Linked DNA regions of Xenopus tropicalis. The protein of the gene in region 2 binds, or shares a complex with, the protein of the main gene of each other region. Links are inferred from orthologs where the notes say so. Each region holds a gene or a part of one and is shown on either strand. Other genes may lie near its edges.

Evidence for each region.
Region 1: the proteins of hcrtr2 (region 2) and hcrt are in contact, whole or in part, in a cryo-EM structure (PDB 7L1U), measured with the Homo sapiens proteins. The link is inferred for Xenopus tropicalis from reciprocal best matches to the Homo sapiens genes HCRTR2 and HCRT. Residues at the interface, in NP_001371201.1 of Homo sapiens: Thr111, Val114, Trp120, Pro131, Gln134, Thr135, Val138, Gln187, Val209, Cys210, Asp211, Phe227, Thr231, Ile320, Ser321, Asn324, Lys327, Arg328, Phe333, Ala334, Thr336, Arg339, Val342, Tyr343, Phe346, His350, Tyr354; in NP_001515.1 of Homo sapiens: Asn89, His90, Ala91, Ala92, Gly93, Ile94, Leu95, Thr96, Met97.

The regions. Positions count from the first base shown.
Region 1 is NC_030686.2:6,727,963-6,732,309, reverse strand, and holds the start of hcrt (orexin), read right to left. Parts: upstream 3,075-4,347; 5' UTR 2,895-3,074; coding exon 2,874-2,894; intron 1-2,873. UniProt on the Homo sapiens protein: Neuropeptides that play a significant role in the regulation of food intake and sleep-wakefulness, possibly by coordinating the complex behavioral and physiologic responses of these complementary homeostatic functions.
Region 2 is NC_030681.2:96,131,092-96,135,567, reverse strand, and holds the start of hcrtr2 (orexin receptor type 2), read left to right. Parts: upstream 1-1,528; 5' UTR 1,529-2,077; coding exon 2,078-2,342; intron 2,343-4,476. UniProt on the Homo sapiens protein: Nonselective, high-affinity receptor for both orexin-A and orexin-B neuropeptides. Triggers an increase in cytoplasmic Ca(2+) levels in response to orexin-A binding.

The DNA.
Region 1 (4,347 bases), on a different chromosome or scaffold from region 2:
AACTTTCATATGATTGGTGTCTGGCAAGTAATAAAGGGGTGGTTCGCCTTTAAGTTAACTGTTATAGGCATCTTTTTATTTGGTCTTCATTATTTTTTATAGTTATAATTATTCCTTCTTCCAACTCTTTCCAGCTTTCAAATGGGGGTCACTGACCCCTGAGCCAAAACCCTATTGCTCTGTGAGGCTCCAGTTTTATTGTTATTGTTACTTTTTATAACTTATCTTTCTATTTAGTCCCTCTCCTATTCATGTACTAGTCTCTCATTAAAACCACTCCCTGGTTGCTAAGGTAACTTGGACCCTAGCAACCAAATAGCTGCTGAAACTCCAGACTGCAGAGCTGCTGAACAAAAATCAAAATAACTAAACTACAAATAATAAAATCATAATAAAAAATAATAAAAAATAATCACTCTCTACATCCTACTAAAGGTTAACCCCTTTAAAGTGATAGTGAAGACACAATATGTATAAAGGCCAAGATTGTGCCCATAGAACACAGTATTTATAGCAGAGTCAGTGAATTAATATATCATTAATAACACACGGAGCTGCAACGGAAAGAGATTCGGGGTGTATGAACCGATATAGAAAATATTGATGTTTGTAGGCGCAACTCATTGCAGCCTCACTGTGTAGGTGCTGGGGGTACGGGGCAATGGGGGTACGGGGCAATGGGGGTATGGGGCAATGGGGGTATGGGGCAATGGGGGTATGATGGAATGGGGGTACGATGGAATGGGGGTATGATGGAATGGGGGTACGATGGAATGGGGGTACGGGTCAATGGGGGTACAATGGAATGGGGGTATGTGGCAATGGGGGTACAATGGTATGTGGCAATGGGGGTACAATGGAATGGGGGTACGATGCAATGGGGGTACGGGGCAATGGGGGTACGATGGAATGGGGGTACGGGGCAATGGGGGTACAATGGAATGGGGGTATGGGGGTACGGGGCAATGGGGGTACGATGGAATGGGGGTATGGGGGTACGGGGCAATGGGGGTACGATGGAATGGGGGTACGGGGCAATGGGGGTACGATGGAATGGGGGTACGGGGCAATGGGGGTACAATGGAATGGGGGTATGGGGGTACGGGGCAATGGGGGTACGATGGAATGGGGGTACGATGGAATGGGGGTACGATGGAATGGGGGTACGGGGCAATGGGGGTACGATGGAATGGGGGTACAATGGAATGGGGGTATGGGGGTACGGGGCAATGGGGGTACGATGGAATGGGGGTACAATGGAATGGGGGTACGATGGAATGATGGAATGGGGGTATGGGGGTACGGGGCAATGGGGGTACGATGGAATGGGGGTACGATGGAATGGGGAATGGAACATGAGTTTGATCCTAAAGCTCATTATTATTTTATCTTATTGCAGATAGAAAGCAGGGGAGTCGTTACACTGACATTTATGGGCCAATGCCCCAAACATTACATTACTATATATGTCTATATGTTTCTCATCCCATTAGATTGTAAGCTCTAAGCACCGGGACCCTGTCACTGCTAATCCCTCCTGTCTGTACTGTACAGCATTACTTATAGCGGTGCCTCTATATAAACTGATCTGTATCTCTGTCTCTCTCCATCCATTCCTCTCTCTCTCTGTCTCTCTCTCTCTCATCTATATCTATCAGTCTGTCTGTCTATGTATCTATCCTATATATCTCTCTCTATGGATGGACTGAGCTACACCAGCCTGACACTATACAGAAACACTCTCTGCTGAGGTTTTGAGGGCAAACACTGCTCCTGAGTAAAATGCCTGACACAATACAAACAGAAGAGAAATAGACATAATGTTGAATATGAAGTCTCTGAAGCTGCAGTCACTCGCACATTTGCTATACGTTCTGGGCCATTAGAGATCACTAGATCCCATACAGCAGGTTCCTGGTTGGCTCCTCAACAACCGGTGCCATAAAGTTTATAAACTTGTTCCCACTTACTGCCCTGGCAGTACTATTGCCCCAGTCAGTATCAGGGTAATTAAAATCCCCCATTATTATCACTTGCCCCAAACTAGCAGCCTTTTCTATTTGCCTCCCCCCCTTCGCTTACATTAGGGGGGCTATAGTAGCGAAGCACTGAATCCCGGATTCCAGCCCTTTTTTTATGGATTCGTTTTCGGCCGAATCCACGGTCCTGGCCGAACCAGTTCGAGATTTGGATAATCCATAAGGGGGGGTTCGGGGTATCCCTAGTCTATAGCATACCCCTAGAATTAGTTTGGATGGTTAGACTCTTAACCATCTGTGAGACGCTCAGCCCATAAGGATTCAGCTCCCTCTGTTAACCCCATCACTTCTGCCTTAATATTTGCAGTTAATTCCTGCTTAATGAACAGACACTCCCCTCCTCCTTTCCTATTGCCCCTGTCCCTCCAAAACAATGTATACCCCCCAATATTACCCACTGCACCCTCACCCCCCTCCCCCAACCCTCTAGCCACCTTCTCCCCCCCCCCCCAACCCTCTAGCCATCTTCTCCCCCAAAGCAGCTGCCCCATCATCATCGAGGTGCCCCCCATCCCAGGCAAAGAGCCTGAGAAATCAGCCCAGTTCTCCAGAACCCCAATCTCTCAGCCGGGGGTTAATCTCCCTGAGTTCCCCCTGCCCGAGGCACAGGGAATATCTCTGAGAAAATTACCTTGGAAATCCTCGCCCTCAACTTATTGCCTAGTTTTTTAAAATTGTTCTTGAGGACCTCCCCCCCTCCTCTAACTTTGCCATTGGTACCTATGTGTACCCCCAACCGCCGGGTCTTCCAATGGGTCCCATACCTGTATATGAAAATAAATCTCCCTTCTATGGATCCCAATATCAGGAAGGTTCCCCTACTCCGTCCCTTACCTTCTCATTTAGAGACTCCATCGTTCCGGGCGCGTGTTCTAGAGGCTCCGTACCTTCCCCTCGGACCGGTAGATCTGAGAAGATCTGAGCATCTCTCTCCGCTTTATATATACGGATCCCTTCATCAAGAAATGCGTCTATTTCGGGGGGCCGGCCTTCGCTACAAAGCTTGGGGGAACATTGTACAAAAGGAGCATCATTTTAATGAATTTGGTGGCGCGACGTCTCTTGGTGACAAAAGGAGGCTCGTCAGCCCCCAATACTCCAGCCTGCGCCATTGTCCTCTGAATACGTATTATTACCATGAGTTACCCGGCGTTAACAAGGAGCCGCCACCAGTGGAATTTCACCGGGATTCTTACAGACATTTAGGCCAAACATGAGTAGGGATCATAATGATTCTCATTAACGACTTAACGACTCGGACATTGTTACCCACTGCGCTCGTTATCATGGGACGCGGTTATTAGACTAATGAGCTTTCTGCTTGGAATGTTCTTCAGAAAGGCCTCCATAGCGATCTGGGAAGGAGTCATGGCGTCTCAATGGCCGAGCTCTAGGCAACTATTGGGTGTCAGCAAATAAAGGCATTCGGGTCTCGCCCTGCTAAAGAACCCTTTACGGAGTTAATTAATGGCTTCCAGATAAAGGGACTAATACGATTCGATGAGGCCAACGTATTTATAGCAACGACGTCTTCCTCACACAGGGAGGGTTAGTTAATGGCATATAAATGGCTTTGGGATACACAGAACTCAGTGTGGCCCCTACTGTGGCCCCCCACCACTTGCCTGAGCTAAGGGGGCCCAGCCTGAAGGCCAGTTAGGGGGGGATTTGGGGTGAGTGCTTATTTGTGCCCTGGGTACCCCTGGAACTATAGCAGGGTGACTGTTACCCCAATGTTTCTATATATCTGTAACCTTGTTATGGGCTAAGGGGGCCCAGCCTGAAGGCCAGTTAGGGGGGGATTTGGGGTGAGTGCTTATTTGTGCCCTGGGTACCCCTGGAACTATAGCGGGGTGACTGTTACCCCAATGTTTCTATATATCTGTAACCTTGTTATGGGCTAAGGGGGCCCAGCCTGAAGGCCAGTTAGGGGGGGATTTGGGGTGAGTGCTTATTTGTGCCCTGGGTACCCCTGGAACTATAGCGGGGTGACTGTTACCCCAATGTTTCTATATATCTGTAACCTTGTTATGGGCTAAGGGGGCCCAGCCTGAAGGCCAGTTAGGGGGGGGATTTGGGGTGAGTGCTTATTTGTGCCCTGGGTACCCCTGGAACTATAGCGGGGTGACTGTTACCCCAATGTTTCTATATATCTGTAACCTTGTTATGGGCTAAGGGGGCCCAGCCTGAAGGCCAGTTAGGGGGGGATTTGGGGTGAGTGCTTATTTGTGCCCTGGGTACCCCTGGAACTATAGCGGGGTGACTGTTACCCCAATGTTTCTATATATCTGTAACCTTGTTATGGGCT
Region 2 (4,476 bases):
AAGACACCAAAAGAGATGCAAGATGAGATCCTTTTGTTTTTACCGCCTAAAGGTAGGGGAGTTGTGATTGGTAGATGGTTGCTGGGGGGATCATGTGGCAGGTTACATGGACAGGTTTCAGCTATTGGTTAAAATGGGTAAAAAAGGGGATCAGGTGACAGGTCAGAGCTCTATATAAAGGGGTCCCCAGATAAGATGTCCCTGAAGATCTCCAGGGTGACAGACTTTGTGGCAGCAGCAGATAAGGAGTTGCCCACCCTACCTTCCCTATATTAAAAGAAAAATTAATTCTGAAAAAAAACAAAATTTGTTGCAGCTTGGAGGATTGTTGGTGTTAATAAATTTGGAAAGCAAGTTCTTGAACTGGGGCTTCCAGCTGGTGGTGTGGCGGGAGCTGGAAAATTAATAAAGGCGGTCTGTCAACAGCTGTACATGGGCTGCCCAGGTAAGAACTATTATGCTCTATGTTTGTGTAAACAGTTATGAAAGTTGATTTTTATATGGTCATATGAAAATGATTGTAATGTAAAGTTTTAAAATAAACAAGCTGTGGCCTTCTCCTCCATCAAGCAAGTGTCAGTGTCTGTTTGCCCTGCTTACCTATGCCATGTCCCCACTGGCTGATTGCATTCATTGCTCTGCACAATAGTCCTTTCTGTGACAGCTTCCTATAACTCCCAGGGGGAATCTGCATATGGAGCTGCATGTTGTTTTCACCTGTGGAGTTACATTAATGTTAGGTGTTTGCAATATTATTGCATATTGGACTTAAGGAGTTTTAGTACATTTTGGGTATGTTTGCGGTTTACATCCCACCAAGGGGCAGATTTACCAAAGTGTGAAATTAGAGCTTACTTTATCCTTTAGGAATGAATAGAAAGTGGGTGAATATTACCACGGTGAGCTCTAATTTCACACTTAAATAAATCTGCCCCCAAGTGCTAACATGGAAGTGTTCAGGGAAGAAGGAAAACTGTAACATACTTACCATGATTTCCCTTTCCTTCTTTTCAGCATTTCACTTTTGTAAGGAGTGAGAAGAGTTTTCTATCATCTCTCTATCTCTCTCACTCGGGCCCAGATTTGTGACAAGGCTACAAAGGCCAGGGCCTAGGGCGACACAAATTTAGGGGAGGCATGCCACCCAGCCACACCTGGACTTTGCTCACACTCAGAGCACTGGGGACAGGACACACAGAAAACTTCAGTGCGCTCGTCCTGTCCCCAGTACTCCTTATCTCCTTATGTGAGCTAAATGGATGCGCATGTGCGTTTCCGAGGGCGATGTGGGGGGGGGGGTGTCGGGGGGGGCAGGGAATTGGAGCGTCTTCTGGGTGCCCTCATTAGAAATCTGGCACTGCTCTCTCTTTCTCATCTATCTATCTATCTATTTATTTATCGCTGTCATTTATCTATCTATAGCTGTTCATCTATCTATCTATAGCGGTCATTTATCTATATATAGCTGTCATCTATCTATCTATCTATCTATCTATCTATCATCTATCTATCGAATGCACTCTAGCACAGTGAAAAGCTGGGGCATTAAACTAGAGGGGTATAAATGGTGACACAAATAAACTAGCAGAAAAAGCAGAAATAGGTAGCGATAAATGGTTTCAAAAACAGAACAGTTACAGCTTGTGCCAGGATATCATCTATGGAATAACAATTTTAGGGTTTCTATTATTAGCTGCAGCCAGAGCATGAGAGAGCTATAATTTTTATGGATTTTTATTAAACTGAATGAGCACCAAGTCCCCGTGGCTTGATAATATTAGGACCCTGGAGCAGAGACTGATTCATGCTCAGCACAAACCCCACCCTCAAGGCTGTTCGGGCTTTTGTGTGACTTGAGTGTTCTCACAAGGTAGCAGAGAGGATGTCAAATCCCAATGAAGGTTGTGCCTGCCCGGAATGTGTGTGTGCTTCATGTGAAGCTGCTGAGGCTCTGGCAGCAGGCACCTCTCTCCACTTGTTCCAGCTGTTAGCAGAGTGTGCAGGACAAAGTGCTCCATGCATCGCCTGCTGCTCTAAATCTGCAGTTATCCATGCCCCTCTAATTATTACTTCATGAATGTTATCACCAGAGAGAAGCACCGGGAGCCGCCAGATGAACAGCAGCATGAAAGGAGCCAAACTTGATCATCTACTTTATAGGAACTGGTCTGAGCAAGATGTGAATGGGACACAGGAGCCCTTTCTAAACCCAAATGCTGATTATGATGATGAATTTCTACGCTACCTTTGGAGGGAGTATCTGCACCCCAAACAATATGAATGGGTGCTAATCGTTGGCTATATCATAGTCTTCATCATTGCTCTTATTGGAAACATACTAGGTAAGTAATACAATAGAGATCATTTCCTTTAGCTGAATGGAATATCAAACTAAAGAGAAACATTGTTGAAGTTTGCCTGTTTCCCATTGTCATTTACATGCATAGAAGATTGATAATGGTACATAGAAATATACTGGTGCCTGAGCAATAGAAGGCAAGTTCATTCCTTCATCTAATTTCTAAAGATAAGTTTGGCTATATATTGGACAGATATAATAGATGATATAATAGAAAATGTCATGATTGTGCATTGGGGATTCTTAAATAGATTATATTCCACTGCAGCAAGAAATGACAGGACTGCTCAGGGCAGTTGGGAACAGTGAAAACTGAATATCATACTGTGGGTATCTGAGACAGAGACTGGTTACTCTCTAAACTGTGTGCTTATTATTGGTTATATTTTATAAAACATATATATTATATATTGTTATTATTGTTTTGCACTGTAAAGCCACTTTTGAAAAGATAAAGCAGCATTAGCATAACTTGTACTTGTATCCAGTGAGATAATAACATAAATGAATGAGTGAGAAAATCCATCTTTTCTGACACCCTAGAACAGAAAAGTCCAGGTACTGTAGTCTTTTGGTTTAACTGTGTAACTGTGTCTCCCAATCAGAGCTGATCCAGTGCACTAGATATCCACACTAGATGTTGCTTGCTCAGATGGGCTACCTTTAGAAAACTTGATCTCGTACAGCCTAATGGTCACATAGAGGCATACTGTATGGTGGCAACATTGACCCATCTCTGTCCAGAGACCTTGTGTAGAACTACCTGTTTTACTGAGTCAGCAGTAATCCTGTAAACACTCATGAACGTAATCCACTGTAATCCTGCAGATACATATGATCATAATCCCCTGTAATCAGATACTGTAGAACATGTAGCAATGTATGTACATAATGCCCAGCAAGCACATTATCTCTAGCAAGCAAATACAAATAATGTAACCCTAACAATTCCCCTTTTTTCAAGTAGATAATTCAAAGTAACACTGCTTGCACAAGTGGAACATAAACCTTAACAATCCTTCAGCAACTTTCACATAATATCCAGTAATCTGACAGGCACCCTGGTACTTAACACCCTGCAGTTGTATTGGCATATCTGCATATTATGCCTAGTGAACCCCCAGTAATTCTTCTAGCAAATTCACATACACAAAAAACCACTAGTACACCTACATGTGGAATTATAAATATATTTCCATATACATACTAGCATATAATACCTAGCAATCCCATGTAGTAATCCTAAAGGTGCCCTGACACATAATATCCAGTATTCTCATATGATAGTTACTATATAATCTCAAATAATCCTACAGGCACCTTGACACATAATCCCCAGTATTCCCATATGCAAATTACTATGTAATCTCAAATAATCCTACAGGCACCCTGACACATAATCCCCAGTATTCCCATATGCAAGTTACTATATAATCTTAACTAATCCTACAGGCACCCTGACACATTGTCCCCAGTATTCCCATATGCAAGTTACTATGTAATCTCAAGTAATCCTACAGGCACCCTGACACATAATCCCCAGTATTCCCATATGCAAGTTACTATATAATCCCATGTAATCCTACAGGATCTCTGACACATAATCCCCATCCTACAGGATCTCTGACACATAATCCCCAGTATTCTTATATGCAAATTATTATGTAATCTCACATAATCCTTCAGGCACCCTGACACATAACCCCAGTATTCTCATATGCAAATTACTATGTAATCTCAAATATTCCTACAGGCACCCTGACACATAACCCCAGTAATCCTGCAGGTCTGTAACCCCAGCAAACCTAAGAGTACATTGGCACATAACCCATAGCATCACTTTAATTTAGCAGCCAGTATATAAGAACACAACAGCTTCATACATTCTTCTTGAAACTGACAGGCAGTATGTTATATTGCAGTTATATGCCTATCTTTATGCTGGCACCCAGTATACGTTTATTTCAGTTATATGCATAGTGAAAAAAATTGCAGATAACTCATCAATTTGACAAATTTATGTCTTCATCTTTCCACTGGCAGCCAATATATAATAATGTCAAATGTAGATGTCCAACTTTATACTGGCAGATAGTATGCAATAATCCCACAGTTAT